Linked DNA regions of Mytilus edulis. The protein of the gene in region 1 interacts with the protein of each later gene in a pairwise test. Links are inferred from orthologs where the notes say so. Each region holds a gene or a part of one and is shown in the gene's direction. Other genes may lie near its edges.

Region 1 (17,344 bases):
TGCAATGTACTAGTATATGTTTGTGTTTTGTTTGATTTTTCATTACGAGGGCCTCAGGGAAGATTAGTTATATAGCTAACTGTGTAACCCTCTTAAAATAAAGTATTGTTGTTGTTGTTGTTGTTGTTGTTCTGTGGGCATATTTCACTTTTCATTTGCACCCTGTACATTTCTACTTGGATTTTAGGAGGAAAATGAGATGCTAATGCAACTGTAAGTTGTTTTAAAATTGACCAGCATCACTGGTCTTAAATCTGTGAAACTACTTTTGGAGGTGCCTCTTAAGCTTGTAGTTAGTTTAAAAAACTTTCTCTATCAGTCCATTTGTGTATTGCTGCAAAAAATCAGGGTTTAAGCTAAGATTTTGAGGGCTTAATTAAATTAATTTTTGCATGATAAGAAAATTCAATCTTTCTTGGGTAGGAGCTTACATTAGCATGAAAGGACTAAGGCAGTTATAGCATTGGCTTCAAATCATGTTAAATTTGTACTTGCATTTGTTTACATATGAAAATATAACAATAAAAATAAATATGCTTGAGAAAAGTTACATAGTTACAATTCAATATTTTAAACAGCTACTTGAACTATTGTTTAAAAATGTCAACATTGAATTTAATGGGCAAGGTAAAATAAAGTATACTCGCACACACACACAAGACAATTTAACTTTGCACCATATCACATTAGACTTGTATGTTATAAAGTCAGAAGGATGTAGACAGATCTTGAAATATTAATTTAGAACTAGGGAAAATTACGATTGAGTTATCTTTCTTTGAACAAAATTATCGTTTCAGGTGTTCTTTTAAAATACCTTCACAGGCTTTTTATGCCCCCACCATAATGTGTCAGACGACTAAGCACAGTATCACAAAACAGATTTATTTTGAATATTGGTGGCATCACTTTCACCATTCAAGATCTAGAAAAATAGCTGAATTTTTGGTTTCCTTTCTTTTACTTAAGTTTGCCTCAACTTAAGGGGGTTCGCGGGTCCAAATTATTAACAAAAATTACCTAGCTTTAACAGGGCAATATTCCAATGTTTGAACTTTTATTATACCCCCGCTTTAAAAAAGGGGGTATACTGTTTTACCTCTGTCTGTCCTTCCGTCTGTCCCATGAATATTTTTCGTCGCATTTTTCTCAGGAACTACAATACAAGGATTTCTGAAATTTGGTTTCAGGGTTTATCTAAGTCAGCTATACCGTGTGATGCGTTTTCAGATTGATCACTCGACAACTTACTGTTTACCGAACACTTGTATGATTTTACACATGATAGCCAAGTTGAAAATTTTCGTCACATTTTTCTCAGGAACTACAATACAAGGATTTCTGAAATTTGGTTTCAGGATTTATATAAGTCAGCTATACCGTGTGATGCCTTTTCAGATTCATCACTCGACAACTTCCTGTTTACCGAACACTTGCATAGTTTTACACTATTAATATTATCCACTTGCAGCGGGGGTATCATCAGTGAGCAGTAGCTCGCAGTTTCACTTGTTTTCACATGATCTAGCTGGACAGGGAATTCATTTTGTTCCATTAAGTATCCCAAAAAACTGGATTTGACCCTTTGATCACCTTTCAGCAAAAACTTATGCAAATTCATAAAATTACATTTTTCTTTTTCAGGACAGTGAAGCAAGATTAAGAAAGACAGCCCTTAAAGAAACAGTGTCATCAACACCATCATACACACCTACACCAGAAACTAAACAGGATTTAATGAGTCAGATAACAGCGTTCCCTAATATAGCTATTATTATTGCTGCACTAATTATAGGAGTTATTCTTGGAAAAATGCTGTTATAACTATAACTGAACATGTGAATGCAACAAAGTGACTATATAAGACTGGAATTTAATAACTTTTAAAAAAATAGACATTTTAATTTGTAACTGTCACTGTTTAAATTTAAGATAAGTAATTTGGTGTAATAGTGAGTTTGATTCGAACAAGACCATATTAGGAAGCTTATTCATTACTATAGCGGTCGGTTAAGGACTTATTTAGCTTCAAAGTACCTCGTCTATAAAAAGGTTGGAATTTTTGTCCTAATTTTTTGCTTCTTAGTTATTTATACATTTTTAGCTCACCTTACCCAAAGAGCCAATTAAGCTTTTCTCATCACTTGGAGTCTGTCATCGTTGTCCAACTTCTCCTCTGAAACTACTGGGCCAAATTTAGCCAAACTTCATAAGGGTATCGTTCTGAAATGTGACCAATGACTTTGCATGCTAATCAATATGGCTAAAAATAGACCTAGGTGAGCGACACAGGCTCTTTAAAGTTTTATTAATATATTTGAATTATTAATTGTCCTTTTTTGTGAATAACACATATTTTTTTAATTCAAAATTTGGTTCAGTTTTCCAACAAAATTGAAAGATAGGTAAATGTGATATACAAGATGTTGACATATAGCACTTCATATTTATAAAGCAAGCACTTTTAAGGAATATGTCGTGAGTGATATTGAAATGATAAATGATAGTAGGGATTCTGTAATCACCTTGTGAAATAAGATTTTGTTGTTGTTAAGATACTGGATATAGCTAATGACAGCAACTAATTAGAATATTTAAAACTCATATAGAAGATGAGCAATATTAAAATATTAAAATGATAAATTCTTGTCAATTAAATTGAAATTGCTGAGGCACTTGTTCTACATTATGTGCTTAACATCCAAAAAAAATGTTATCTGCATGCAAAAAAAGAGACTAATACAAGCAGTTTATTGTATTTATTATATTTCTAACATTAAACAATAAATGAATGCTTAAATCATTCTTAATATCAGAAGTAATGCATGTTATAATTCATTATTGAATGATATAATTTCATACTTGTATGTACTTTCATCAAATTGATAGAATACTATATTGTGTATTAGATGTGTTCATACTTGTGTATTATATGAAAGGTGTATTATCATTTAACACATATGTTTTGGGAGTTTTGTTATTAAAAGAAGTATTGATAAAGCATATATAGTTCCTGGAATAGTTTTATACATATTCTATCGAAAAATTCTATAAAGGTGCTAGCTTTGAATTACATAATATTTTAATTCAGATCAAATCTGGTTTTGCACAAAACCCATAAAATTTTCTGAAATTCTCTGAAATGTCTATAGGAACTATACGACTATATTTGAAAGAAAACTTAATGATGATCATATGCACATGTGCATTTTTAGGCCTTTGTACAAATGTTGTATATTTCATTTTTTAGACCAAAATTTAAGTTGATGCACTGTTTTGTTTTCCATGGTCTTATTTTGTTTTGTTTTAGTTTTTTTTATGAAAATGTTTACTTTTTCCATTGTTATTCTTTTTGTTTGTTTAGACTGTTAATTTAATTAACTTCTTTTCTTAAGTTTTGCCTTATTTAAACTAGATTCTATGAAGTCTAGTTGAAGGTTCATAATTTCTTTTTGTTTTATTTAAGAAAGACACCAAATGAAAAGAAAACAAATTTATACTTTCACACCCTTAAAGTACGGAACAATAAAATGTTGTACAATTATGCGATACATTTCTGCTTTCTGACATTTAAAACTTGAAATCATAAACAGTGGTTGTGATAATGATGCCAAAATATAGGGATTTTCAGATGTAAGAAAGTAATATAAAGTCCCCTTGTACATATGTCTCATCACAACCATATCACAGCTTTTGATATTGTATTGAAAAGAAGAAATTTGGAGAGAAGTTTTGTAACGTATTGGTTGATACTTAATATGCAAGTTTTTCTTTCTTAAATATACTAGAACATGTGTCAGTTTGATGTATAATATTTATAATTTATTAGATAAGATGTTATTAAATACAATATCTTCTATTTTCATGATTTTCCTGTTACCCAATGCATAACTGTCTTATGAAATTGAATAATGTTTTCTCTTGGTTGGAATTATTACATGTGTAAATTAAAGCTTTTTCTTTCGAATACTTTTACAAGCTTTCTAGGTTACCAGTGATGTAAGTTCATCATATAACACTTATTATATAACTTTATAAATTTTCATAACTATAATTTATTAGAAAGACTTTCTGATCTATAAACTTAACATAATAATTTTCTAGGTTGATATTTGTTGACTTTTTTTTTTATAATACTGACTTTTGACTCCAATTGATATTTTTTGACAGGCTATACCTACTCTACTCTGTGGTAGGTCGTCCTGGTACCAAGTCCAGTAAATGCAACTTAAAGAAGTACATGTATAATCAAGCTTTCAATCTATACAAATGTTTGGGTGAATTGCTTTATATTTTCTTTGCACAACAAACACAACTGAAAACAGTAAACTTTTCCCTCAATTTCACCCATTATATGTTTAATTTTACTTTATTGGTGGCCCTTACTTGACCAAGTACCAGGAGGTCTTACCACAGAAATAGTTACCGGGGTACCTATTGAAAAATTATAAAGTCTGAGTTAAAAGTTGGTAATATGAAAATAGTCTATTGAAAGTGGGAAAAAAATATTTAACAGTAACTGTGCATTGACAACTCCTGACTTGAATTATTAAATGAGTGATGTATATATTTTATAGATGTTCTTTTATACAATGAAAATTACATTGAAGGCACCTTACTCTAGTTCTTAGTTGATTTATTCTTTCTCAAACCTTTGTAAACATAATCAACATCTGGTTTTGTCTTAACTTGTGCTTCTTCATTGGTTAAAATTCTCTTATCTCCCTGCTTTTGCGCAAGTCACTCAATCCAGATATATTTTGGGTTATGAATAAGTGATCATTTTGATTTTCAGTGTTTCTAATGGCCATGGTCTTGTCTGTCCTTTGTCTTATGTTTAATTTCAAATTTTCTTGTTAAGATTGTTTTGTGTTTTAAATTTAGTAGTTTCTTTAGGTTAGACGTCAACCAATCTTCTTTTATCACCAACTTCATTGTATTACTAGCAGAATTTAACAAGAGTAACACAAGATTGCCACTTGTGGAACAAGAGTAGCATCCTCTTTGATTCATGTTTTTGATTATTTTTCTCTGACCTTTTTGACACTGGTACAATTTTTATATGTGACAACTGTGGAGAGAATAGAAATATCTAATGAAGACTTACATTAATAACATTTAGTTGGAAGGTATGGATTCTTTCCATTATGTTTTTCACAAATTTCTATTTAAGAAGTTTTGATAAATTTGTTTCTTACATTACAACTTTGCCATCTGGTTAATTAAAAACAAAATCACTGAAAACATAAAAAAAAAAAAACCTGATCCCCATTACTAAGAGAAATATAAATGCACAAATTTTTCGAAACAGCTTTTAACTTTTTTACAAAAACAAGTGAATGAAGTGAACAGGTATAAGTTATTAGACAAAGGTTTACAAGACAAAAAATGATATAAATAATTTATTAGACTTAAGGTGGTACCTAACACTTTAACTAAAATTAATTTGGCTCGTTTAATTTTCTTAAAATTTTGACAAAGTATTTACTTTGACCCTTTGACAAAAATATAAAAATTTCAAAAAATTTGAACCAACCGTTTAATCAGAAAAATTACACTGGTTATATAACAGTTTGACAAACACTTATTTTGATCATTGAGAAGCTTAATATTCCCTTATGAACACAACGTCATTAAAACGTTCTGCTGATTTTACAGAGTTATCTCCCTGTAGTGTTAGGTACCACCTTAATATAGGGAAAGGAACAAATGAACAAAAGGATATATATTTGCTGAATGACATCTACCTGTTGATTAAAAAAGATTGATATTTTATACTAGTTTATATGTAGTTTTCATTTTTCACATCATATTTCAATATTAGTATTGGATAGTCTTGGACTCTGGGTTCAACCTAGTATAATTCTTTGTTTCCTCATTTTTAAGTGCTATGTCCTGGAACTGACAGGCGCAAACTTCAAAATAACAAAGCCAAGCTGGGTTATAAAATGACCAGTACTTTAAGCAAGGGTGGAATGGGATATTTAAAAATAATTTATTATGGCTTGTTAAAATTTAACTGACCAATTATTCCAGTCATATGTGTGTGCAATTTAATCTGCAATTGAGAATACTTCAATGGTTTTCGGTGTAAAATCATGTAATTTATTTATGTGCTAAGCCACTGCTAACTACCTGCTTTGAATGTAATACAAGTAATCAGTTGTATATTCAGTATGTAACATTATAGATGTAAACATTTCTAACTGATGTTACACAACCATCATTTCTACTGCTTCAACCATTTGTTACTTTCATGGGACATCATTGAAGAATAGAATGGAGTAAGTCCTGAAATGAAAGTGTACAAGTCATTTAGTTTGTTAAAATAAACTTTTATGATGATAGTGATTTTATATTTATTGCCTTAAACACTGACACATAAGAGGAAAAAGTCATGATTTTTGTTTTAAAAAACAAACAAATATTGTATTGGATTCATAAATCATACTTTGTTTCAACTGTTAGGTTTGATCGATATTGAAAATAATGCACTTCTAATATACCCCAATGGCATTCATGAAAACAAAAGAACACATTACATAACACATTACAAAAATGATTTCAAAGAAAGCCTTAGTTTATTTTCTGAAATAAAATAATCTACTGGGCAACATTACTGTCACATCTAAATAAAAAGAATGGTGTCACTACTGGTTTGAAAGAAATATTTTGATTATTCACATCTACAAAAAAATGTGTAAAATTGCTACTTTTTGTAGAGATAAATCTGTATGAAATTTCACATCCGACACCTAGAAATTCTGAAGTCAGAACAACTTAATAGTTCTCCCGTTAACAGCCATGAATGTTTATTCTCAGTCAACATGAACAGCTGGTGGTGAAAAAAATTGAATAAAGTTCCTCAGATATTCCAGAGGATAGAATTACCATATGAACCACCTTAATATATCTAACAGTTCAACTCAACAACAACTTGGGTCAAATTATGATTAAAGTGTATTTTAGCAACATTTCCTGGATATTTCTTTGTTATATTATTTCAAAAATGAGATAAATGTGTAAACATTATTATAAAACAACATAGAAAATTTATTAAAAGCAAAGTTGCTTCAAGTCCCTTGATTTAAAAATCAAGATTGAGAATGGAAATTTGGAATGTGGCAAAAGAAGCAACAACCTGTCCAAATAGTCAAAAAACGGGCCAAGGTCAGATCTTAAAAGTTTCATAATTAGTAGGGAAAGTAAAATCACAAAAAATGAACTCCAAAGAAAATTCAAAACAGAAAGTCCCTAATCAAATGGGAAAATCAAATGCTCAAACACATCAAACAAATAGACAACAACTGTCATATTCCTGACTTGGTACATGCATTTTCTTTAGTAGAAAATTGTGGATTAAATTTGGTTTTATAGCTGGCTAAACCTCACTATTGTAGACAGAAGTTTGTTTCATTGAAATAAGTAAAATTGTATAGTTCAAGCTTTAAACCTTACTTTTTTTTCCACAATGAAATAAAACTTAATATATTTTCCTTGGTGTGTGCATCTCCTTTTATATAGTCATCATCAAAATAGGATGTGTTAAATAACCAATGAAAAAAAACCAATCCATTAAAAAAGTAAGATTAAAGAGTGAATGAATAACTACATACCTTCAGGTGATTGTATAGCCTTCAATTATAAATGAAAGGTAAGTGATTAAATATGGTACAGTTTATGCAGCTGTGTGTGAATCATTACCATGCAGTATATATATAATTCAAAGGGAACAACCACTTAACTTCAAGTGAGGAGGGGGGGGGGGTAATTTTTTTTGCCTTTAGTTTGATTTTTCTTTCTTGGAAAGTGCAAACCTTTTTTTTTTTAGTTTTTCAATGCTGTCAATTTTTTTCAAAATTTAACATGCACTATGGCATTGGAAAAATCAGCATTCAAAATTATTTGTTTTTTTACAAATTGAGGATCAGAATACACAAAATATGACTACCTGAGCACATGCAATTAATATTTAAGGATGTCTGCTGGTCATGTTTTTGAATTCTTGTCATATTTTCGATTTTCTCAGGTTTTATCCATCCAAATGTATTAAAAAAAATTTTACACGACACCCCCCTTTTGTCTTCATAAATCTGTTCAATAGATCATTTCAGATTTAGTGATCCGGCGGCATGAAATCCTTGTTATTTTTTCTTGGTTTAAAGGGTAAAAAACAATTCCAATGTTAACAAATAGTAAAGTCTGAAGAAAACCCTTTTCCCGCCATTTTCTAAATGTCTCGTATTTTGAAAACTACACACGATACTAATGATTTTATTACTTTATTTTGTTTAAATATCAAAGTTGTTTTCATTTTAAGCAACCACATGAAATCCTTGTTATTTTAAATTAGAGCAGCAGACATCCTTAAATGCACAATTATATTTATTGCAACATTGATGTGGTGTTCCTGCATAGGAGGGATATACAATTACAATAGAAACTATTTTTATTTTTTTCTAAATACTCTTATTGATACATTAAATAATTATTATAATATAATAGATACACTTTTACATGATCTTGCATATATTTAGAATTGAATTCGATAAACAAGTCGACCAATACGTGTTACGGAGCACCGGAGTAAACCATGTGAGAAACAAACAAGACTTTTATTTACTGCGGATGATGGATTTGATGAAAACAGTTTCCTGAAAATTTGACAGTAGCCGGCTTTCTTGAAGATATTCTGTAGGAGAAAAACACAAAGAGAAAACATTAAAATGGCAACACGAAGTTTAACAGAGGTTTTCATTTTGATGAGAAACAATGCTTTACAAAGTCGTCATATGTTTTCTGAACATGTAAGAAATCAATAGAATTAAGAAAACAAACTATAATACTTTTAATTTTCGTTTCATCATCATGTACATGTATGTCTGTTTTCTTCAACAAAAACTTTCATTATATTCAAACTTAAAAGATCTGCATTGCAATGTATGTTATAAGACATAAGAAGATGTGAAAGAGGTGCGAAAAATACCATAAACTCATACTCAAATTCAAACTCATAGTCATAGATTGAAAATAAACTGACTCAACTACAAATGTATTGCAATGGCACATCAAAAGATGTAACTGAGTGGGGAAATACAAAGATGGATAGGTGCCCACAGTCCCACTCTCCCCCGTTTCTGTTTGCCTTGGGTCTGTCCATTATCCTGGTTTGATTGTTTGCCATTATGCCGGCATTATTTACATTTTGAGAGCAAAAAAAGAGGAGCTGGTTTAATAATGTAAATATTGAAGTAATTACATTAAACTATGAGTTTTCAATCTGTCTGTACATCAGTGTATTTTGCCCTTATCAAAACACAACTTATTACAATAACCATACGAAAAGCCTAAATATATTGTTTATCTTTTGAAATTGAAACAGTATCCAAAAGTAAAAAGCGACACACACAGAGGCATATCTTTCAAGACCAACAAACACTTAGGCCAAATAAAAATATATGTGTGGTTCCAGTAACCCGACCGACCCTAGAACTTTTTTTTTCATTTCTGAAAAATAAATTTTCAAACGATCAAATTTTGAGGATTGTGAATTAAAATAATTAAATTCAGATTTCTGTCATAAGTATCTGTTATGGCTAAAATGCAAGAATTCATAACTAAATGCAACAAAATTAACTAAAAACATATCATGACTGTTTTAGTTTACAACCAAACACATGTAAAAATGGTGGACTTCCGGTTGGGACGTATATAATACCCTATTTTTTAAAAGTATGTAACTGGAACCATACATATATTTTTATTTGGCCTTACATGTACAGTGGAATCCCCGGTGTCCGCCAACCGGTGATACCGTGCATTAGCTGATTTCGTCATATTACCACAGCAACACAAATAAAATTGTTCTTGTTATTGTTTTAGTATTCCGAAGGTATAAAAAGAATAAAATTGATAAGTTCAAGAGTTAAAATATTACTGCAATCCCATGATTTACAATATTTGGCCAATTCCCATTAAGAAAAATTACATCTGACATCAGATAAAATGTGTTTTATTTAAGACAAATCTATATCAGATTGAAATAATTTTTGCTCTGCATGCTTGGCAGTGTGTTTGGTTCAAATTCAGGCATATTTCGTAGCAGAAAATCTTTCCTTTATTCAAAATAATCTTTGTTTGGAAGGCATGCGCAAAATCACTGGATATTGGAGGAACTGACTGACTGCACCATACTGAACAGCCTTGCAATTAGTTACTTAAAATTCATCACCACACAAATAAAAACTGTTGCCTATTGTTTTTGTTTTTTTTATTATTATTATAACCTCTCTGAAATTCTTTATTGGGTCTTGATCATGATGGCAACATAAAAATGGGATAAGAACAGCCATGCAAACCTACAAAATAAAAAATAAAAACTTGTTAATTAAAAATCACAATGATTAATGTGCATGTTCTGACATCCAAAACATTTAATTTTAGGTTAATGATGACCGGATGGCACTTGTTTCAAATGCAGCTTCTGATATGGAAATGGGCAGTATTAATACAAAATCATCAAGACTGCCTCCAGAATGGTAAGTACGACTAACGATATATTTTTTTTTCTTGTGACACACAGAAAAAATTAGGGTCTATAGTTTATTTTTAGATATTTTTTTCATGTATACATCTTAATAGGTGTAATACCACCAACCAAATCATGGTACATTACATCCGGTTGTAGACCAAAATTTGGTCGAAAAAAATATTCCCTTGAATAATTTACTTTCAGGGGAGATAATTCAAACTTTAAAAACAAAAATTCAAAGATTATATTGACTTATACAAGGTTATGCTTCTTACATCTTAAAGCAAATAAAAATGACTTGTACAAGTATTATCCCTGACTGTTTAGTAAACACTAAATGTACCTCAAAAGTATAAGATCAAGACAAACTGCAGGAACAAAGTGTTTTACTTTCAATAACCAAATGGTTTGTTAATTGGTACATTTTTAAGCTTTAATGCATATTCCAGGCAGTTGTATTAATTAGACTTTTTCAAATATAGTAAGCAGGTAAAGAACACATGATACTTTCATCACAAACACCATAGCCCTTAAACATTATAAAATAGTCCATATTGTTACAAAAAATAAAAATAGAGGCAATAAACAAATAAATATAAAATACTTTTTATTCCACTTCCTATTTCAAGTAACAAAAACCAAAAATAACAATGAACAATTTTTTTTTTAATTTTAATTTTGGAATCCTACATAGACATGATATGTTGACAGAGTTGTGACAAGATGGCCTTGAAGCAGACAAAAACTTGATGTTTATCATTAGTGCACAATTAGTAATATCAAGCAAAGAAATCAACAGATACTGAAAACTGTCATGAAAATGTACACTTTCTGTAGACAATAAAAAAAATTGACTGATTTTGATAAATCATGTTTATTTTTTTTCCAAAAATAATGGTAATGATAATTATTTGAGACCTCTGTTTCTGAAGCATCACAGTAAAAGTTTAACCAATTTGACACTAGTAGTAGCCGAAAATGACCATTTCCACCTGACAGTAAAAGGCATTCATACCCTCTTACATAGCATAATAAATACATTTTACAAATTATTTTGACAGGGTAGATGGAGTAGAAGAGGTACAATATGAAATGACAAAAATCAAAACTAAAAGTAAGTATACAGATTTTTTCAGATTTCAATTTACATATGTAGATGTAATTATTGCAACCATTGAAAATGCAAATGTACCCATTTCTCATTAGTTAACTTTTTGGGTAAAGATTGCATGAAATGCTATCAAAACCCTATGGTACTGACTTGATATCTAAATCTTCAAAGTTTTATCACTACCTTTGAGATCCACACAATATGGTGCATTGATCATAACATTCTTAACATCCTATCCGTGAACATTACCAGAAATGTATCAATAAAATATATACTCAGATATTCAGTTAAAAAATTATGTTATACTTGTCAAAATTAGATAACTTTTGCAAGGTACATGAATCTAATTAATATCTATTCTATAAATATCAATGATGTCATCTTTAAGAATAAGAGTTATCTTCCTTTGTTTAATGGTTTATAAAATGCAATTAAATTATTGAATTTTACTTTCCACTTATAAATTGTAGCAATCTTCACCATTCAGTGCTTACAAACACTTAGGTTTCACAGTTTGGATAATATGATAGAGATTTCCAAATAATATATCCCAAATTTTGGTTGGTCAGGCCAAAATAGCTATTTTAATAAATTTTATAATAATTTTAGAAATTTACAGTATGCAGAATCATTGTTAGCTGGAAGGAATTGTTAACTTGAACTTAATGTTATTGACTGGTTTTGTCGGGTTAAACAATTGGACCTTTAACATAAAACTGCATATTTTTGATTTTTTAGTGAAGGAACTTGCAACACTCCATGACAGACATTTAAACAGACCAACGTTAGATGATAATGTGCAGGAGGAACATGCTATAGAAATAATGACACAAGATATTACACAGGTTTGTTTTCATGTTAAGGGAGATGATTTGAGATATAACCCAAACAGACAGCAACCCAATGACACAAAAAAAACCAAGAAGACATGAAGTAGTCTATAAATATACTTCAAGAATAGACCATTGTAAAGCTCTATATGCCTATCGCATACTCAATTGTGTTTGTAAATTTAACAGAAACCATTAAAAACTACTGTCCACACTGAAGTCTCTGAATGACAAAAATTAGAATACAACTAAGGAGCACCACTGACAATGTTCCTGACATAGGGAGGCACATATACTTGTTTCAGATGTTTAATCTCAATCATTTGAATATCAAAAGGTATATAGAAAAATCAGGACATAGAAAACATTTGATGAATTATATTGCTGAAGTAGATAGTCAAAACACAATTGTATGCAAAACAATAATAAACTCTGCCCTAGCAAAGAGTACACAATTCAATCATCCAAATAGCACAATTTTATTAGTAACATTCAAAATATTTCATACTGTGAATTCACTTATTTTTCATTGGTAGTAATTTTCTTTGATTAGGAATATTTGATTCCATGATTTTGCTAAAGTCTGCATACAGGGAAATATATTTAATGTTGTTCAGTTGAATTCATTGTTTATCTTTACCATAGAAATCCATGAAAATTTATATCGAACGAATAATTTTGAATCAAGAGTAAACAATTAGTTTTCTTGCAGATGTTTACCAGATGTCAAATAACAGTTCAGAGAATAAGTCACAAAGGAAACCATGGGACAGAGCAGGAAAAAAGACTAGCCAAAAATATAGTATCATCTGTGGCCAGATCACTACAAGATATGTCATTAAATTTTAGAAAAACACAATCAGATTACCTCAGAAGTAAGTTGTTTCATCTTTTGATAGGGTAGACTAGAAATTCTTTGATACTGACACTGATGACCAAGGATTGTTCCATTAAAACATACATGATACCCAGTGAAGGCACTTTTAAAAAGGAAACCACCTATAGAGTCAACTTACAATTTCACTTGCATATCCGCTATACAAAAAGATAGATGACACCCTACCATTGTTCAGATTTGGAAGTGCCTTCCCTGGGTTCCATGTATATTTTTATGGAACATCCCTAAAATAGTCAAGAACACAATTGTATAAATAGTAATATGACAAAGTCATGTAAACTTGTCCTATAACTTTGATTTTATTGTTACATAAAAACATTTTCACTGAAACCTTTAAGTTTTTCTTCGCTTCTAAAAGTCGGAGCTTCTTGTTGACTGATACAGATCTTCATCTGGTTATTTCATACAGTATTACACATTTACAGTTCCTTACTTGTAACTTAATTAATGAGTCAGTTTTAGTCAAACCAAGAAACTGTACATTTGTAATAGAATAAACTCAGTAAATTTGGCATCTTAAGGTGGCTCGGGCATATATGAAGTTTCTATCAGAAGTGCCGTATTTGTGTTTATTTTATTCTTTACAGAAAGTGAAACAAAGTGGTAGAAAAAAAATATGGGGTCACTGACCATTTAAGCTCAAAATTTTACTTTTAAACAGGTGTGTAAAAGGGATCGTTTTTCAATGAAATGGTAGGGAATATAGAGGTGTTGACATATTTTTATCGGAATATCAAAAAATTTCTATGACACTTGGTCCAAAACTCTTATATAAAAAGCTGAAATATAGCTTCAAACAGTGAGCAAATAAAAACATAAGTCATCAATAAAAAAAAAATATTTTGCTTTAAAATCCAAATTTAGGCGGGAAAATGGTGAAATTGGGTGAAATGTCATTTTGAGCCTTTCACAGATACACATAATAATGATAATATTTTTTGAAGGACATAACTACAATGAGTTAATATTTCTAATCAATCAAAATATTTTAGAAAATATTATCGAATTTACGACACATACTTTTCGTGTGTATTGAAATTCTTGCATGAAATTATGTGCCGTCAAATAGTCCGGATCCACCGTACCTTAAACATTGGAATATGAAAACCTAACCTGTGCACAATTGAAATATTCAATACTAGTAATGTTCTAATCAGACAAGCATTGCTTTTATTGCTGTTTTTCATTTTGACTTTTGTCTTTTTGATAAAAGGTAGAAAAATCAATCTATTAGCTAAATCAAGATAAAATGTGGAATATGGATTCATTATTAATCACATATAATTTCAATGTTTGAAGATTTTTTAAATCATGAATTTAAATATAAATGGATATCAATGAATGAAAGTATTTACATCAACTGCAGACAGCTCTGAGTGTCACAAGTAAGAAATAGTTCTAATTGGACAAAACTGTATTTTTCTATATTTATTCAAAAGTGAACAATTTCTTCATTTTTCATTTCAGAAATAAAAAGTAGAGAAGAAAGATCTAGAGAATTTTTTGATACAAATATAGGTCCAAGCTCAGGGTCATTTATGGAGGAAATAGAACCTTTTGAAGATGTATTTGACAAGGTAATGGAGAGAAGCTATCTTTGTTCATCATTTAGAGTTGTGTTTGATGATTTCTATAGATGCAAAATAACAAAGGCGTAATAAAAATCTTATTTTATAAATAAATAACTTCATCAAAAACTACCTTGACCAAAAACTTTAACCTGAACTTTGCACTATCATTTTCTATGTTCAGTGGACCATGAAATTGGGGTCAAAACTATAATTTGGCATTAAAATTAGAAAGATCATATCATGGGGAACATGTGTATTAAGTTTCAAGTTGATTGGACTTCAGCTTCATCAAAAACTAACTCAACCAAAAACTTTAACCGGACGGACGAACGGAGGCACAGACCAGAAAACATAATGCCCCTCTACTATCGTAGGTGGGGCATAAAAAGAATTAGTTTATGAAATGATACGGTTTTCTTGCTTTATAAGCTTGCCAATGAATCACTTCATGTATAACCTGCGGCATTTAATACTTAAATCTTCCTTTTTATAGATAGAAGTCCAAGAGGCTTTTGTCGGTAGGAGCTTGTAATGTTTGCTGACTTCCCTTTATGCACTTTGAATAATATTGTTTAAAAAATGGCTAATGATGTCTATATTACTGGTCACACTACTTATTCAATCAATCAGAATTTACAACACATGCAAATATAGTTTCATTTGAACTAAGAAGTACAATATACATTTACGGCATGTACAAAAGATGAATATTAAAAATTTTAAAAACAATCTTAAATACTTATAGCTCCAGTAAAATGCTCATTACATTATGTCCAGGTTAAACATTTCATTCACACTTACAGAACAGTTTCACTAGCGAAAGAAATCATACACATGATGGTCCGAGACCACAATTGTCGTCCCTTGATTTTCGTTGTTCACGAATATAGTCCCTAGTGTTGACAGTGGGTTACTTGCCATTAATTTTTATACCCCTTCCAAATTTATTTCTCCATGTTTAATGCCTCAAATTGCAAGTAGGGGGGTGAAATTACACTGTAAAACAATTTGGGTCCAGAATTTTAAAGGAAAGTAGTGATTAGGTCCAGCTGAAAAAGGTTGAAAATTAGCACATCGGAAGCTGTCAAAAGATTTCAAGATGCCCTAAACATAAAATTGTCCATATTTTGAGTTAGAGCCGATGAAGTTTTCTATAATTTTGATATAATTTGTCCCAAAAGTTGTACAACACACTGTAAAAGTTTCTTTGAGAAAGCGCAGGTGGGATTTTTTTAATTTTCATTTATGTTCTAAAAGAAATGCACTACGAAATAATTGTGTTCTCGGACCTGATGGCATGAAACTGGTTTATACATACACATATATATATACACTTTTGCCATGACCAACAGTTGACTGGACATTTTCAAAAAGATTGAATCTAGTTGAATGATAAAGATTTATTTATTTATTCAAGGGTTTTACATCATCACAATTACACATGGTTGAAGATAATACAGTACATGTTAAACAAAGAGAGAAAGAAATAGCACAGATAGTACAGTCTATAACAGATCTGAATGAAATATTTAAAGATTTAGCTACTATGGTTGTAGATCAGGTTAGTGTTCAAGTTTAAATACAAATGTAGTTACAACATAATTTCCTGCTTAGTGTGGCAGATGCAACCTGTCATTTTAAGTCGCATTCATAGCAGAAATGTTTCTGTAATAATCTTTTTCAGTACCTCTAAAGCAAAAAAGTAATGGAATCCTTAAATCTTTTCATGTCATCTTATATCTAGAGATACTTGGAAATATAGGTCATACAGAAACAAAATTCAAATTCATGATAGGGGAGGTAATTTATTATAATATGTACTTTGGTTTAAGTTTTTGATGATTTGTTAGTTTTACAAAGTTCTTGAATTTATATACTGTGAAAGTACTTTAATTCGTGGGTATTAATTTTCGTGGTTTGAGCAATATTTACATGTTCGTGGGTTTTTAAATTCGTGGATTTTAGTTTTCTAAAAAAAAAAAATTTGAAAAATTGAAGCCTTTAGAAACGAGGGTTACAAATAGTCTAGATTGAAGGAAATTGCAAAGTAAACATTGACCCGTGTAAATCGTAGTGATAACACTAATTAACCCATGATAAAGTGATCAACAGATTAAAGACCATCAAAGGTGTTAATTAGGCCATTAACATGTCACCTAAAGAAAACAGTAACATAAATAAATGCTATGAATTGCCAAATAGTTCTTAGCAAAATCAAGACCAGCATAATTTTTTTATTTCTTATAAGTACGAGAACTATGAGGATATAAAATGAACACTTTATCATACTAGCATATCAATACCGGAAATCTGACTTTTATTAATCAAAAACAAAAGTTGTACATTTTAGGTTATTAAAGATTAAATGGGTATAATCCTGCATGCGTTTGTAGTTCTGTGACT
Region 2 (17,161 bases), on another chromosome or scaffold:
TACAATGTAATGTAGAATCATCTGCATATAAATCTATTAATGAATGTTCTATATTAAGTGGTAAATCATTGATATATAAAATAAATAACAAAGGGCCCAGGATAGAACCTTGTGGTACCCCAGTTTTTATGCATTTAGTATTAGACATGACGTTATTGACCTTAACTTGTTGGCTTCGTTCAAACAAGTATGACTTAAACCAGTCTAGTGTACAATTTGAAACATTATAATATTCAAGTTTTTTCAATAAAATTATATGATTAACCAGATCAAAAGCTTTCTTTAAATCTAAAAATATAACTCCGTTTATCTCTCCATTATCTATATTTGCCAACCATTCATCTACTAATTTAGTAAGTGCAGTAGTACACGAATGTTTAGGTCTGAAACCTGACTGTGTAGTATTAAGAAGGTCATTACTATTTAAAAATATATACAAACTATTAGCTATATGTCGTTCTATGATTTTTGAGAGACAAGGCAAAACTGCTATTGGTCTATAATTATCAGGATTACAGGCATCGCCACTTTTAAAAATTGGGCAAACTCTTGCAGTTTTAAAAATACTTGGAAATTTACCACTTTTGATGCTTAGATTAAATATATATGTCAAGGCTGGTGCAATGACATCGCTGCACATACTTAAAATATTTGGTCCGACATCATCTAAACCAGTTGCTTTAGACTTGTCAAGTTTTTTTAAATACATGCTTACATCTAAAATACTCATTTCTGGTATAATGAATTTTTCACTACCCGTTTGTAACTTTGATTTTACAAATTTATTGAGTGCATCAAATCTGGCACCATCATCATTATTACATAACTTGTCATCAACTATACTTTCAGCAATATTTGTGAAATGCACATTAAATGTATTTGCTATATCAACATCATTTTGAATTACACTATTTTTATATTCTAAATGCGTGATATTATTATGTACTTTTTTAGGATTTAGACTTTTGACATACTTCCAAATAGTTTTACTATCTTTACAATTTGAAATAGCATTTTGGAAATATTTTTTCTTTGCCTGTTCTATTAAAAATGTAACCTTATTACGCCAAATTTTATAATTATATATATCACCAATTCTTTGAAAATAATCTCTTTGGTGTCTAGCGCTATTTATATCAGAAGTCCACCACTCTGGTTGTTGGGTATTTTTCACCCTTTTAATTTTCTTAGGAGCATGTTTGTCTAGGGTGCTCAGAAATAAATTATACCAATAATTAGCTGCTTCATCAACATCTCCAATCGATTCAATGAGATAAAAAGGAATATTTGTTAAATTTTCAATAAATTTATTTTTATCAAATTGTTTGAATGATCTATATTCTATGGACAAATGCTCCATTTTTGTTATTTTGGGGTTAAGTTTTCTTGTTACGCAAACAGGATAATGATCACTGACAGCATAACTAGGCACCTTTACTTCTATAATATGGTCTACATCGGTCGTATATATATGGTCTATGGTAGTTGCACATTTATCTGTTACTCGTGTCGGTTTATGTACAATTTGTTGTAAACCATACAAATTAATACAGTCCTTCCATTTTTGATTTCCGACAACTGTATGATTTATATGTGAAAAGTTTATATTAAAATCTCCTAAGAGTATAATTTCTTTATTTTCTGCAGACGCTTTATCTATTTCTTTTTCCGCTGAATCAATCCAAGATTGAAATGAACTCGGTGGACGATAAAAAATGCCTATTAAAATAGAGTTTGTGTTTGGAAATTTAATTTCAATCCATAAAGATTCAATACTACTTATTTCTAAATCGATTCTTCTCTGATGACATACACTATTTCGTATGTACGCAATCACACCTCCGCCATAATTAATAGCTTTTCTATCTTTTCTTTCTATTTTGTAACCTTCAATTTGTAATGTTTCGGTACCAATTTCATCATTTAAAAATGTTTCTACCATACCAAATATATCAAATAATTGTTCATATTTTAATAGAAATTTTATTTCTTCAATTTTTGGTTGTAAATGTTGAATATTTAAACAACCTAGTTTAAACCCTTTTTTAAACAACCAACTTGCTTCATTATTTCTACTTTTATTTACAGAACTAGGTGTTTTATTTTGACTCTTTCTATGTCTCTTTTGAGATTTTCTCCAATTATTATTATTACTGTTGTTTATATTATTAATGTTTTTTATATTACATGAACATTGTATACTACTACATTTATCACATAACAGATTTAAAATATTATATCTGTTTGAAAAACTAGAACAAGCTAAATGCTACCTATGAACATAATCTGACTTACGTACAGAGTTTGGTGAATGATAGTTAAAAAATGGTGCTCTGTCTACATTTTGTCTATTTAGCTCATTATTGTTTTCCCACGAGTCACGAGAGTTCATATTGAGATCATTCCTGTCCTTTACGTTTCTGGGGTTGATTCCTGAATGGTTGAAATTTCTTCTGTCTGTTGTAATCATGTTGCTCCTAGGTTGATATCTTTGTTTTGTAGGGCTCCTTCTGAAGTTGTTTGCGTAATATTGGTGACTGGAACTTTGATATCTATTTATGTTTTGTTGGTTCAAATGATGCTGTATTTGTTTTCCCTTGAATACTTTAATTACTTTATTAACATTTGCCAACAACTTTATTGTTCCATATCTATTTAGATGAATGCCATCTGTGGTGTAAAATGATTTAGCTATATGATCATCTTTGTAGACAAAAGATTCATAATTTGATATGAATTTGACATCATTATAATGGCACATTTGTTTTAGGATTGTGTTATACTCAGTGACATCACATTGTATCCTTGGTAATATTCCAGATACAATTGCTCGACAGTTTTGACATCTTACAAAGTTAATGATTTCTTGAAAAATGTCCACAAATTGTTGTACATTCATTTTGCTACTTGCATCATTGCCACCTACATGAATTATAATTGTATTGTATGTACTCAGATCCATATTTCTTATGTCTTCGTATAAATCTAGTACATTTGCTCCTCTGTGAACATGGACATCTATATAATCTTTTAATTTAGATGGGTCAATTCCTTTTAGGACTGAACTTCCGGCAATTAAAACCCTACTTCCTGATAATGGCAGTTTTGGTTGGGTATCATAAACAGGATTTTGTGGTTCTTCATTTATATCAGCATTTATTGACTGTTCTATTTCATGTGAATGTTCTTGTAATATTGTTTCACATATTGTTTTTGGAATTGTTTGATCTTCATCTAACATTGGGGTACATTGGTTACCGAGATTTTCCTCCGGCATAAAGCTTTTTTGTAATTTAATTGTTTCCACTTCATACAGTTTTATTTTATCACTGATGCTTTGTGTTTTTCCTTGTAACATGTTAACTTTTTTTTCCAAATTTTTATTAACATTTTGAATTTCTGCTTCAATGTCTTGCATCTTATTCATTGATTGTTGGTCATGTTGCATGCGCACCTTTGTTAAAGCTGTCATTCGGTCATTTAAAATTTGAATGCTACTCGCATTTGACAAATTATTTGCTTGTATAGATATTTCCAATTCGTCAACTTTGTCTTTCAAATTTGTAACAACAGTAGTTAGTTTGTCTAGTGTTGTAACAAAGTCTCGAATATTCAACTGTGGTAATGTGTTACCATTTCCATCTAAACATGTACTTTCATCCTCTGAATTAGTCAGATTTATATCTTTCACTTGTGCTTGTATATCATCTGGAATATCTATTATAGGTATAGCTACTGACGAAGTTGACTGTTCCCGATTTGTATTTGACGATACATCCTCTTTTATTGATTTTATTGTGTTGTTATTAGGATTTGATATTTGAATGGTACCGGGGTTTAAATGTTCTGTTTTATTTACATCTATAACAGAGTTGTTATTGCAATCTTCTTTTCCTTGTTTCTCCATTAAAAATCACCTCTTCGAAAATTTTGTTTAGCTCATTTAAATTTATATCTTTCCCGTTTATTTGACATTCCTTCATTTTTACTACAATGACCGGAAGATCTGTTTCACAAAATATGTTCAGTCCTTTTCCATTAATAAGTACAGAAGATGTTGTGAAATATATATTAATACAATAAGATTTACGCTTGATAGATCTTCCCAACGAATCAAAACCTTTTTCGGAAACTTTAATTTGTTCTTCAACGGCATTTTTATTATTCTTATCGCTGATTGGAATAAATGCGATTTCTCTGTTATCTCCTCCATTTGTATTCAGATGTTCATAATAGTATGTGCATGCACGTTTAAACACTTCAAAACTAGACGTGCTAAAAAACAGCCTAAGGCCACCACCGGTCAATTTAAAACTTAAATGTTCTGATCTTGTTGCATCTAGTTTCTTGATCAAGGCCTTTGATTTATTTAAAGTGTAGTCTCTTGATATATTTTGATGTTGAACAGTTTTGTTATTATCTGTGCTTTGAATTTTTTTCATGTTTGACTTTTATTGTTTTTGTTGCTGGACGCCATTTTCTTAAACAATTGTAGAACGTAACACACACAATAGGAAAACGTTACGGAATAATCAGGGTTGTTATTATGACGTTACTCGTTGGAAACGCTTCAAATCATTTTGAACAGCAATATCGTTTCAAAATAAAATTATTAAATTGGCACAGTTTAAGATAAATATTTCTCGCCAAAAGCTTCTTCAAATTCAAATGAATATATTGTACCTTTTTTTTCCGGAAGAATTCCGATCATAACAGGTTAGATACACACTTCTTTTGCGGAGCAGTTTTCAAGCAGCTACGCCATTGCACATCCGGGCATCTTACAATATAATAGAAACGTTTGACCATTAAGTTTTTCCATTCGGCAGCCACTGTAGCTCTTTTCAAAGCAGGAGATCGTACCCTGAAACAAAGTATGACGTCATAGAACAAAACTGTAGATTGCACCCTAACGTTAAAGCCTCGGTCACACCTTGCCGGATAGCTCGAACGGACGCCTAACGGATAACTTTTTTTCAATCCGTTCATGTCCGTTCTTATCCGTTAGATGTCCGTCCATATCCGTTGCATGTCCGTTAAGCGTACGTTTTATCCGTCGACGTCCGTTCTGTCCGGTGGAAAATTTTGAGCATGTTCAATAAATGTTCATGAGGATAAAATGTCCGTTGAACGTCCGTTGGGCGTCCGTTTTGTACGGTACTCGTCCGTTTCGTTTCCGTTTTGTATTCGTTACGTGTCCGTTATACATCCGTTGGAGGTGTGGAAGATACATTCACCAACGGACTTCTACCAGACGTTTAACGGATAAAACGGATGTTGAACGGATGAGAAACGAACTTCTACCGGACGTATAACGGATAAAACGGATGATGAACGGATTTGAAATGGATAAATGCCAATTGAAAATTTAGCGTGAGAAATGCCAATTATTGGTATGTCAGATTTCTTAAGGTTCGTGAATTCATAATCGATTATAGAGTATAGGCACGTCTTAACAATCAAGCAGTTCTTATTCAGGCCAGACACTGCCCTTTGACGGAATTTTGAAGAACAAACCAAAACCAGTTACACAGAAACATTTTGAATATTTATGCGATTTACATGTATTATTATTGTCGCCTTTGATTTTTCCGTAGATCTTGTTCATCCGTTTTATCCGGTACGCTTCCGTTAGGTGTCCTTTTTATGCGGTACTCGTCCGTTGATAATTTAGCTGATCTGTAACAATAACATCTTCATGCCTTATATCTCATGTACTGTAGTACGCCGCTAGATTAAAACTGACGAGGAAAGGTAACACACGGCCAGCGAAAGCTCTATTATTGTAGAGCCCAGGTGGTCGTGTGGTCTAGCGGGACGGCTGCAGTGTAGGCGATTTGGTGTCACGATATCACAGTAGCATGGGTTCGAATCCCGGCGAGGCAGGGCCGTAACTACATTGAGGCAAATGAGGCAAATGCCTCATGTAAAAAATTTCAAAAAAAAAAATTAAACAAAAGGTTGTTTTCATATTAAATTGTTTTCACGGAAAGTTTCTCGCAAGAAACAATTTCTCTTCACTCTCTGGTGTATACCCTGGATTTTTTTTTCGTTATCCATGTTTCTATTTTCCTTTTAGTTTTCGGAGTTGATGGTTTATTGTTTGTACTTCTGTGTTCCGGGTTTGTCTTTTGTTCATTTATTGTCCTACTTTATGACTATAGTCTGAGCGTTGATATTCATTTGTAAACGTGGTTTTGCAATGTTGCATGTCCACCGATGTCCAGAATTGTGCGAGAAATATATTTTAAGAACATACGATGCTACTCAGTGGACACAAACAAAATTGTCCTTTCTGCATGGATAATTGAAATTGATATCAAAGAATACAGTTTGTTTTATTGTAAATAAAACTAGATAGCTGACATGGTTTGAATTAAAGTAAGGACACATATTTCCCGGTATCAAATATTTTGAAGGAAAAAAAACAAGGTATTGCCATATATGACCTTTTACATCAAGTTGAAAGGTTAAACTTGCATTAAGTCGTGTTGAGACCCTTTAACAGATAATAAAGGAGTATGGGGATATAATCGCACACAAAGTCAATGCATAGAAAAAATAGTGACAAATGATCAATGGTCAAAGTTTGTGTTCCTGCTCTTCATCTTGATAGTTGCCGGATGGTCTTCAACAATACTTTTGAAGAATCATTAATACCGTAAAAGATCGTAAAACAAGGTGAAGATGGTCCCTATTTTGGACTTAAGCAGTACTAGTACTTAACGTATAATACTGCAATGTCACTATATTTAAATCTAGTCATACTGAAAAAATCACCAAAGTCTAATCACAATACAAGACAAGAACAGACAGACAGATACGGTATTGATAATTATGAGAATTACGATTTTTGCTTTATCCTACATATCGGTCTTTTAATGTTGTCTCTAATACCTAAAAGTCTTAAATTACAACGAATCTTTGTTTTTGCTTTGGGACCTGATTGTCGAAAAAAATATCTAAAAATTAATTAAGCCGTTTTAATGCAAGAAAGAGTCTGGGAAACGCTCAGAATGCACGATTTTGCGTTATTTTTCTCAGAGCTTCTGGGGCCGCTGACCACTCACCCAAAATTTTGCCTCACTATTAAAAGAGGCTAGTTACGGCCCTGCGAGGGAAGAACCAAATATTTGCGAAAGCAAATTTACAGATCTAACGTTATATAGGTGGTTATGATTGGTAAATGTTCATGATACTGAGGCCTCTATAACAAAATATATCACTGGATTAAGCTTTTCGTATAAGTGTTTTATTAAATTGCTATTTGCAAATGCATTATTTGTGAAATTAAAATTTGACACACAACTCGCAATTGCACATGATCTGCTGTAAGATGGTCACAACTGTCAGCAAAATGAATTGTTGAAGTAGTCCTGATCATATCTAAAAGACTTTTTTTATCAGTTTGTAGGAGTTTGGGGCATATGTATTGGTATCTGACATAATTCGTATATTATTGTTAATACTTAGACTTTATAAAAACAATTGCGAAAATCTTTTACTAACGATACCATGAAGATCATTAACAACTAAACAATTTTAAGTGGGCCAACCCAAATTAAAAATTAGCATCTCAAAGGAACATAAATGGAACTATGCAAATACTACATGCTTGCAAGTCCTTGATAACATCTCGCATATTAGAATCACATTATGCAGAAAGGCACCTTATGTGATTATCCTCTTATTTGAGTTTTTGCTTTTATCCAAAATCAAAAATTGTGGAACACATTTTAGCGGAATCATTCGGAAATATTTGCAACCTTCTGCTTCTTCAAGTAAATCTTTCCAGGGATGAGCACACTCAGCTATATAGGATTGAAATTAATTAGAAAAGAAGTTTTTTCAAAGTTAAAATGTTAAAAGGTAACATCCTGCATTGAATGCAACGTTGCACATGCACAAAGTTAAATGACAGGAACGTACATCAATATTCACAAAGCACTCAAAGCATGTTGGCGAATATGTAGATTTGATATCAAAATCACGGTCTAACTAAATAAAATCTATGAATGGTTGGCACTGCTTTAAATTAGTGTCTACTCCATGACAGTCTTGAACATTGAATGAAAGACACTGCTATTTTAGTGTTTGGTACACTATTGCTGTCACTGTGCACCACAGTTAAACGTAGAACACTATAGGAGGAAACCAGAGATCACTTAATGTAAGAAAACACTATTAAATCTATGAACGGTTGGTACTGATTTAAATTAGTGTCTCCTCCATGGCAGTCTTGAGCAGAAATAAACGACACTGCTATTTTAGTGTTTAATACAGTTTTTCTGTCACTGTGCACCACATGTAAAGTGCACCTCAGTTTAACATAGAACACTATAGGAGAAAACCAGAGAAATCTTTATGTCAGAAAAAACTACCCCCCCCCCCCCCCCCGGGGGGGGGGGGGGGGGGTAGTACTTCCTATATTTTTCTTTTTCACGTCCTGCTGGTTAGAACAGGGTCGCTTTTTCATGCCCTGCTGGTGAAAACCGGGTCTTTGTTTAAACAAAGTATTTTTCTAGTACAGTATAGCTTATTCAACTGTTTAGAACAGCATCTATTCTATACGGTCTAGAACAGGGTATGTTTTTCAATAATTCTGTTTAGAACAGGGTATGTTTTATGTTTTCTGGTTAGAACAGGGTATGATTTGGCAAGTGCTGTCGGCACAGTTATACCCGAAAGGATAGTTGGTACCCCACCCCTGATCTCAAACATCCAAACATACTTTCCACATTGATTTGTGTCCACACTTGAAATATGTAATAAAATAAAATTTGAAAACTTGTATTTGAATTTTACAAAATTGCATACAATTTTCAATATTATTTAATATTTGACATTTTTACAGTATTGATCAGAGACATATAAATACATGTCTCTGTATTGATCAATTTTGCCGGAATATCTTGAATGATCACTAGATGTAACAATTAATGTTCAATTTTAACATAATAAACACAATCGAAACACAATCATGATAAACACACGAAACACAATCATGATAAAAATTCTTAAAGATAATGGCAATGGGTAAGAGCCTCTTCTGAGCAAGGATTTGTATTGTAAGACTATACAAATCCTTGGTACGAGTCAGTTTAATTTAGGACCGAGTTTGCAAAGGTACGATTTGTCGTAAACCTTTCCATTATGAAGCGTTTTGTTGAACAAGAGAATTTGTGATGCAAAACGTAAATAGTGGTGTGACTCACTAACCAATACACGTAAATAATATAAATAAAATCATGGCAGATAATGAGCAAAAAGCTCGTCAGTTAGTTGGTGAGGCCGAGAAGAAAGAGAAGTCTGCTCAAGGATTTTTGGGATCATTGTTTGGGTAAATGGCGTGTAATTCATAATGGGAGCTTAAATTATGATAATTTTTTATCCCGAAAAAGTGTTATTTGTATTCAAGAGATAAGAAAAGAACTGTTTCGTTATTAGTAGACAGTTGCTACAAGGCATATAGTGTACTTGTCTGCTCTATGGTCGGACTGTTGTCTCTTTGACACATGAGGGCCCTCATGGGGTTTTTGATTATGTGATTACTTGGCCGTTTTTTTAATGATTATTTGATTATTAAGCCAAATATTTCATGATTATTTGATTACCTAGGACTGTATTTTTAGTTTATGATTATTTGATTACTAAAGATAAGCAAATATTTAATGATTATGTGATTATATTGGCAAAAAAATGGTGATTATGTGATTACTAGGACCCCCCCATGAGGGGCCTTACACATTCCTATTTTCATTCTCAATTTTATAAAATTTGTAACAACTTGTACTCGTATCTTGGTAGTGGGTCATATTAGGGTATAAGCATGACACAGGATTTTTCGATTTTTTGTAAGCATGACACATGAAAGTCAAATTATTATGTGGTGAAAACGGGAAATGAGGTCTTGCGGGACCCGGGAAATGACAAAAAAATGAGAACTGCTTATGTACATAGTGTAAGCAGAATACGGAAATCTGACAAAACAGTAAGCGGGATCCGGGATCGGAACCCCTTATTGAGACCCCCTTGGTAGATACATGTACTTATACCACTACAAACTCGTACCAAATCTCATTGGGGGGTTGATCCCGGATCCCGCTTACTGTTTTGTCAGATTCCTGTATCCCGCTAGACCTCATTTCCTGTTTTCACGACACAATAATTTGACTTTCACGTGTCCCACTTACAAAAAAATCGGAAATCCTGTGTCATGCTTAGACCCCAATGAGACCCACTATAGGTATAACACCACTAATTCAGGCCCCGTCAGAAAGCACATACCAGAAAGTAGTACATATATTTAACACAAAATACAATGTAGTTCGAATTCCTACTCATGAGTGTAACTTAAAATATGTAGGATATTTAGGTATTTTGGGCATCAAATGAAAGCTGAAGGCCTGGTGATCATTCTAAAACACTTTTGGGCTTATAATTTTGAATATTAAAAAAAACGCACCAAATTTTAAAAAGAGAGTACATTTTGTCTGTTTGTCACCCTGTAGAAAGCCACATACAGGCTGACAGCCATGTTCAACACAGGGTTGCAGTTTTTAGCACATCATTAGAACAGAAGCACGTCTGGTCATGTTTTATAAAATCCCATTGCAATCACAAAAACGGACCTACTAATTCATCCCCTCAGTTAATCCTGAAACATGCACACACTCTAAAACCTAATTCCATCCTGCAGAACAAAAATAAGGCCAAATCTTTTTTTCCATGAACAATTTAAAACTGGAACAGGCTTTTTCTGAGTATTGTGATCAGGGTTGGAAAAGTATAACCCGCCCATGAAAACCCAGGTGGGAATTCCTGGGTTTTCCCAGCTGGGCAAAACTCCCAGAAACGGGTAATACTGGACAATATGATTTTTAAAGCGTATTTCAACACAAAGTAGTAAAGACATGTTGAAGTTCCATAGTATTATAGATTAATATATACATTTTATACAGATGAATCATTGAGAGTTATTTCTAGAAGATTCAAAATTCAATTTCATTCTTTTCTCCACTATTTCTATGTATACATGTACGTAGCATGTCAGATGTAGACAGAATACAAATTTTAACATTTTAGATACATTTTTTACCTTGTTAATTTCCATGTACATATTGTATTGATTCATTCAATAATCCAAACTTTTAAAAAAAATGCATTTATGGCAGTGTTTAAGTGAACTGTAAAATTGAATTTCTATGCAATCATATTGCTACATGTCAATAAACACCCTACAGGGTCAAGTCATTAACACTTACAGAAATAAAAAGGCTGAATATTGTTATATAAACATATCTGTGTCCTTATCTGAAGTTTTTCGTTACAGTTCCATCACTTTAGTTTCCCTCAACCAAATGTTATGAGCCTTAAACACAATACTAATTACCTCAAAACTCAGAACAAGATCAGATTTGGTGGCGTCACTTTTACTTTATTTGGCCCTTTTACAATGTAACTTTTTTGGATTCTAGTGTCCCTGACAAGTCTTTTGTAGACGAAACACATGTCTAACATATATACAAAATTTAATCCTGGTATCTATGATGAATTTGTTTACAACCACGGCCGGGCACTGGGTCAATGCCATTGCTGGTGGAATTTTAATTCCCCAAGGGTCAGCCAGTAGTCAGCACTTCTGTGCTGACATAAATTATCATTGATATATATAGTCATATTTATAAATCATGTAAATCAACTGTTTACAAATTTTGAATTTTTGAAAAAATAAGGCTTTTCTACCTCAGGAATGGATTACCTTAGCTGTATTTGGTACAACTTTTAGGAATTTTGGTCCTCAATGGTCTTCAACTTCGTACTTTATTTGGCCTTTTGAACTTAAAATACATGAATTCACATGTTAAACACCAAGCTGTATGTTATATGTTTCTGATGGTACAGTCACACTTTCAATTAAAAAATTTGAATCTATCAGTGACTTTAGCATTAGTAATAGTTATGGTATCAATATCCCACTCTTTTTATACATGTACAATGTATATGCCTTTCTTTTTACTACAAGAATGTTCATATTCAATTTTTATTCATATCACATTAACCTCTGTCCTAATATTTTTTATGAGTATTATGGCTAGTAAGACCTCTTTTGGCATCAGGTACATGTACTAACTAGCATCATAAAGGCATGGAAAATTACTGAAATTTTCACAATTTTAGCATTTGTGCTAATATTAAGAAAGTTTTTGTCTAGAATGGAAATGGCCGCATTTGACTGCTCAGTCTTGATATTTAAATAACCTGGTAGGTTGTATTTGGTGATAATACAGCCACTTACTATTTAGTCAAAAAGCATCTGAAAAGTGATGTTGTATGGCATATTTGATAGAAGTTCTAAACATGAATTTAAAGGTCTCTAATGATCAAATTAGTTCAAATCTTTTAAAAAGACTAATCAATCGACTGAAGTAGACACTTTAGTGTTTAAACAATGTTAAAATTCTTTCATCAGATGTACTTTGAATTTTAGGCCAAAACTAGCCCTCATCTAGCTCCTTTGTTGCTGACACGTAAGCAGCAATTAATAATCAATCCTGTCAGTATAAAAATTAGATTTTACTGCATTACCAAGAACAAGATAAACTAATTAACATGATTAACTAGAATTGGGTCCGATTACTTTCAATGTAATTGATTAAATTACAATTACTTCGTCATTTGTATGATTAAATTAAATTAATGATTACATCATTTCTGAAAGTATCTGATTAAATTAATGATTACATTAGCAAAGTAATCATGATTACATCTGATTACAATGAATTTAAAAACAAAACATTTTGAATGATGTGAATGTATAAACGTTCAATATAACTATAGCATTTTTGAGGAAGTATTTCATTTTGGTTCAATTATAAAATGATAACTTCAAATTAAACTTCATCTATTTAAATAAACACCAAATTTCACTACATATATATACATTACACTTTATCACCAATGATCTCTGAATTATTTTGAATTAAATTTAATAAAGATATATCATAATCAATAGTTTTTTTGTTTGTCTTCTGACCTCTTTCATAATTTATATGTATTCCATGTTGCAGTTTATGGAAGTTTAAATATGGATTAAATAAAGTTACCAGTTAAAACTATGTTAAATTTTAATAGAAATGTTTAATTAAATTGTAAACACTACATGCACTATGTTAGTACTAAACATGCTAAAAATGATTACATTTTACATGGCCAGGCCAAATACAAAAAAATTTAAACAACATATTTGTCCAACTTTTAATTTAGTTTGTGCTAATTAGATAAATTTTCCTGTCTGATTTATCAGGAGTATGACATTTGCGCCGATTTTTAAAATTTTCATTCTTTCATTTGCGCCGATTTCATTTTTTCATTTGCGCCGATTTTATATTTGCTCCTAATTGGATTTACAGGTAAGTTAATACTTGAACATGTACCGTGCAGGTATATTGGTAAAATCTGTTTATAAACATAGGTTTTAGTTAATTTTGATTCATATTGTTCTGAACTTTGCTGTAATTGATGGACATATTGCACACTGCAACAAGCCGAGGAGTCAATTTTTTTAACCATCGACGGCCACACACATAAGTACGTTAGCAAGACAAAGAAAAGATGGATTACGTTATTGACAATTACAACAAATATAGAAGAGACGAAATCACATGAAAGGAACATATTAGATATGTTGCCTATAAATACTCAGCAAGAACAGATTTATGATTTTAATGTCTTCCGTTTTTATGGATTTGAATGCTGTAAATAGATTTTAAAAAGTCATTTTAGTATAAACCAGAGTGTTTTTATCTAAGGTTTTTACTTCTTGATTTTAAAGTATGTAAATATAGTGTACAACTGGATGACGGAAGAGGTCTATAATGATAAATATAAAAAAAACATGACTTGGATGGAGAGTTGTCTCATTTGCACTCATACCACATCTTCTTATATCTATTCACCTGTAATTAACCTGTAATTTACCTGTAAAAAAATCGGGGCAAATGAAAACAAAAATCGGCGCAAATGAAAGAAAAAATCGGCGCAAATGAAATGCAGATCGGCGCAAATGCAAAACGCCGGATTTATCTTTTATCATATATATTTCCCTACAGCTATACTCAATTGGTAATTGTAATAAAAACAAACCTTAATTAGTCTCCTACCTGTCAATTCAAAGTTGACAAAAATTAACAAAAGATTATAATTCAGGGTTAAAGTAAAGTATTACTTGAATATATAACAGTTATTATCAAATATTAATATGAAGATCATTATAAAACAATGAATAAACCTGTATGTACAATATCTCTTACCAAGATTGAAGGTAAATAATTGTATTATATGTCTCTGCTAAAGCTAATGGTGACTTTTCAATACTGTAACAGTTTATTTTTTTACTGAAGTAGACATGTTTAAAGTAACCAAACCATTTTTATCATGTTTAAAATTTATCAAATATGAATAACAAAGAGGTTCATTTAATGACCAAAAACACAATTTTAGATTTTTTTCATTGTAATCAGAATGTAATCAAAAAGTAATCATGATTACAGGGTATTTTGAAAAGTAATTGATTAAATTAAATTACATGTAATCAGATTTTTGGCTGATTAATGATTACACTGATTACTTGAAAAATTGTAATCAATTACAGCTGATTAACGATTACAATTACAATTACCCCAAGTCTGTGATTAACCAAGGATACCTTATGTTTCTTTTATCTAGCTCATCTAGCAAAACAGAAGAAGCTTGTGAGCTTTATGTGAGAGCAGCAAATTCATTTAAAATGAGTAAAAAGTGGGCAGGTAAGTAAAATACACATATAAAACACATTTTGAAGACCTTACTTTGAGCTATAACAGTTCTTATACAGACAGGAAAACATTTTGTGGTCGTATATTGGTTTCACATCATTGTCGTCCAAAGACATTTGGTTTCCGGACAATAACTTGCATTGTAAGTGTAAGTAAATAAAAATCTATGAAATTTAAACACCAGGTTTATGACCACAAAAGGGAGGTTGGGTTTGATTTTGGGGGTTATGATCCCAACAGTTTAGGAATAAGGGGCCAAAATAAGCATTTTTCTAGTTTCCAGACAATTACTTTTGAAAAGGTGTAATGTCTAATGATCGCTCTGAAATTATACCACAAGTTTCCATTACCTCAAAGAGATAGTAAGAATTAGCTTTGGGGGTTATGGCCCAACCTGTTAGCAATTCGGGGCAAAAAACGGGAAAAAACAAGGGTTTCCTTGTTAATGGACAATTGCTTAAGTACACTTCATAATTTTAAAGCAGTGTAAGGGAGGCAATTCAAAAATAATGTTTGAAATATTCACTCTAAACTTAAATTTTAATAACTTTCTTAAACTATCCTGGATTTCTACCAAATCTCCGTCTAAATAATCATGCTAGTTGGGTCAAAGCATGATAACATTTTTGTGCGGTTATGCTAACCGTATTAGGTATATAATTAATGAAACGTTTAATACACAAGTGTCCTAGATTTCACTACGCAATAGTAGCATGTTAACTCCGCCCACTGACCTCACTCTTAATGTGTATTGTGTAACCTGATGATCTATTGATTTTCCATGTAGTGCATAGTTCATGTGTTTTTATGCCAACTAAAGATGGAGTCTGGTAAAAGACGATTTGTTGATACTAGTGATGAAGAAATTGAACAAAAAAGTGTGAAAATGAGTGCTGACAAAACAATAAAGCAGAATATAGCAGCAGCCACTATTTTCAGGGAGTATTTAAAAGTAAAGAAAATGGATCCTGGATTTGAACAGTTTGACACCTTAAAACTAGATGAAGTGTTGGATCATTTTTATATGGATGTCCGTAAAGCAGATGGAAATCGTTATAAAACAAATTCACTGCAATGCTTGAGATACTCATTGAATAGATATTTAAAGGCTCCACCGTACAATAAAAAAATTGCACTTCCAGAGAAAATTTTAAAGTGGCAATGGCAGAACTTAAACGCATGGGATTAGGAGACGTCGATCATTATCCGTGTATTGACGAACCTGACAGAAGAAAAATGTATACCTCAATATATTTATCACCAAATACTCCATTTGGACTTCAAAATAAAGTTCAGATTTTTGTCAAAGGGGAATGGAAAATATGCCACAAATGACAAAATCCACGTTTTCTGTAAAAAAAATCAGAAAACGGGGCTTAAATATGTTGCTAAAACTTTAGATGAGTTGACAAAAAACCATCGCAGCAGTGACAAAGAAAAAACTTCAGGGATAATGCCAGAAAATTCCGGTTCTGAGTATTGCCCCGTGTCTTCCTTTGAAAAGTATGTAAATAAATTAAATCTAGAGTGTGACAAACTATGGCAGAGACCAAAAGATCAGTTTTGGGAAGAGGACCTTTCATGGTATTATACCATTCCTGCAGTCTGCACCGTTAGCCACTAGTCAGATGCCCCAGACTAGTAAATATTTATTCGGACTAGTGAAAATTTTCAAAATTTTATATAGTCATATAGGGACAAGTTTTGATATTTAGTTTCCGTACTAGTAGATGAAAAAGTTTTTGGCGCAGACTGTTCCTGTGGGCGAAAAAAACGCTTGGCAATTTCATGTCATACCTGAGCAAGAAGTGCAACTTGTCTGAAATTTACACTAACAATTCAATACGTGTTACCGGGGCTACTGTTCTAGCTAAAAACACATTTGCAATGCACAGATCATGGCCGTAACTGGACATAAGTTAGTAGCATCCCTTTCTTTGTATCAGCGGGTTGATAATGATGATAAGATACGTATGGGACAGACATTAACAGAAAGCATCACTGAACAATCTAAGCATTAGCTTTAACTGCTGGTGAAACATCATCAAATATTCTTGCTTTACCAAGCTCAAGTTGTACAGTGCCTCCTAAAACTTTAGCAATTGCTCTTTCTACATTTCTTCCTCTACCGAATATTACAACAGCCAGCACCACACTTATGAGCACAGAACGTAGTTCTGTTACTTATAACGTTGGACAAAAGACTGTATACATCTGCTAAGGAACACAAAGCGCCGCCGTTGCCATTTAATGGACCTTTGCCATGCAATACGTTTAAGCCAAAACATTAAAGTACAACCCAACAAGGAAACAGCACACAGTCATTTAATGAATCATTGCAAGGT

What was found.
Region 2: the proteins of syntaxin-16-like (region 1) and alpha-soluble NSF attachment protein-like interact in a two-hybrid assay, tested with the Drosophila melanogaster proteins (2 studies listed by BioGRID). The link is inferred for Mytilus edulis from reciprocal best matches to the Drosophila melanogaster genes Syx16 and alphaSnap.

What each region holds. Positions count from the first base shown.
Region 1 is NC_092348.1:67,000,579-67,017,922, forward strand, and holds the start of syntaxin-16-like, read left to right. Parts: upstream 1-8,602; 5' UTR 8,603-8,726; coding exon 8,727-8,807; intron 8,808-10,443; coding exon 10,444-10,538; intron 10,539-11,592; coding exon 11,593-11,645; intron 11,646-12,380; coding exon 12,381-12,487; intron 12,488-13,184; coding exon 13,185-13,347; intron 13,348-14,837; coding exon 14,838-14,947; intron 14,948-16,358; coding exon 16,359-16,502; intron 16,503-17,344. Other genes in the region: vesicle-associated membrane protein-associated protein A-like, read left to right, coding at 1,645-1,824.
Region 2 is NC_092346.1:22,461,642-22,478,802, reverse strand, and holds the start of alpha-soluble NSF attachment protein-like, read left to right. Parts: upstream 1-9,143; 5' UTR 9,144-9,248; coding exon 9,249-9,340; intron 9,341-14,727; coding exon 14,728-14,807; intron 14,808-17,161. UniProt on the Drosophila melanogaster protein: Required for vesicular transport between the endoplasmic reticulum and the Golgi apparatus. Also between the endosome and phagosome.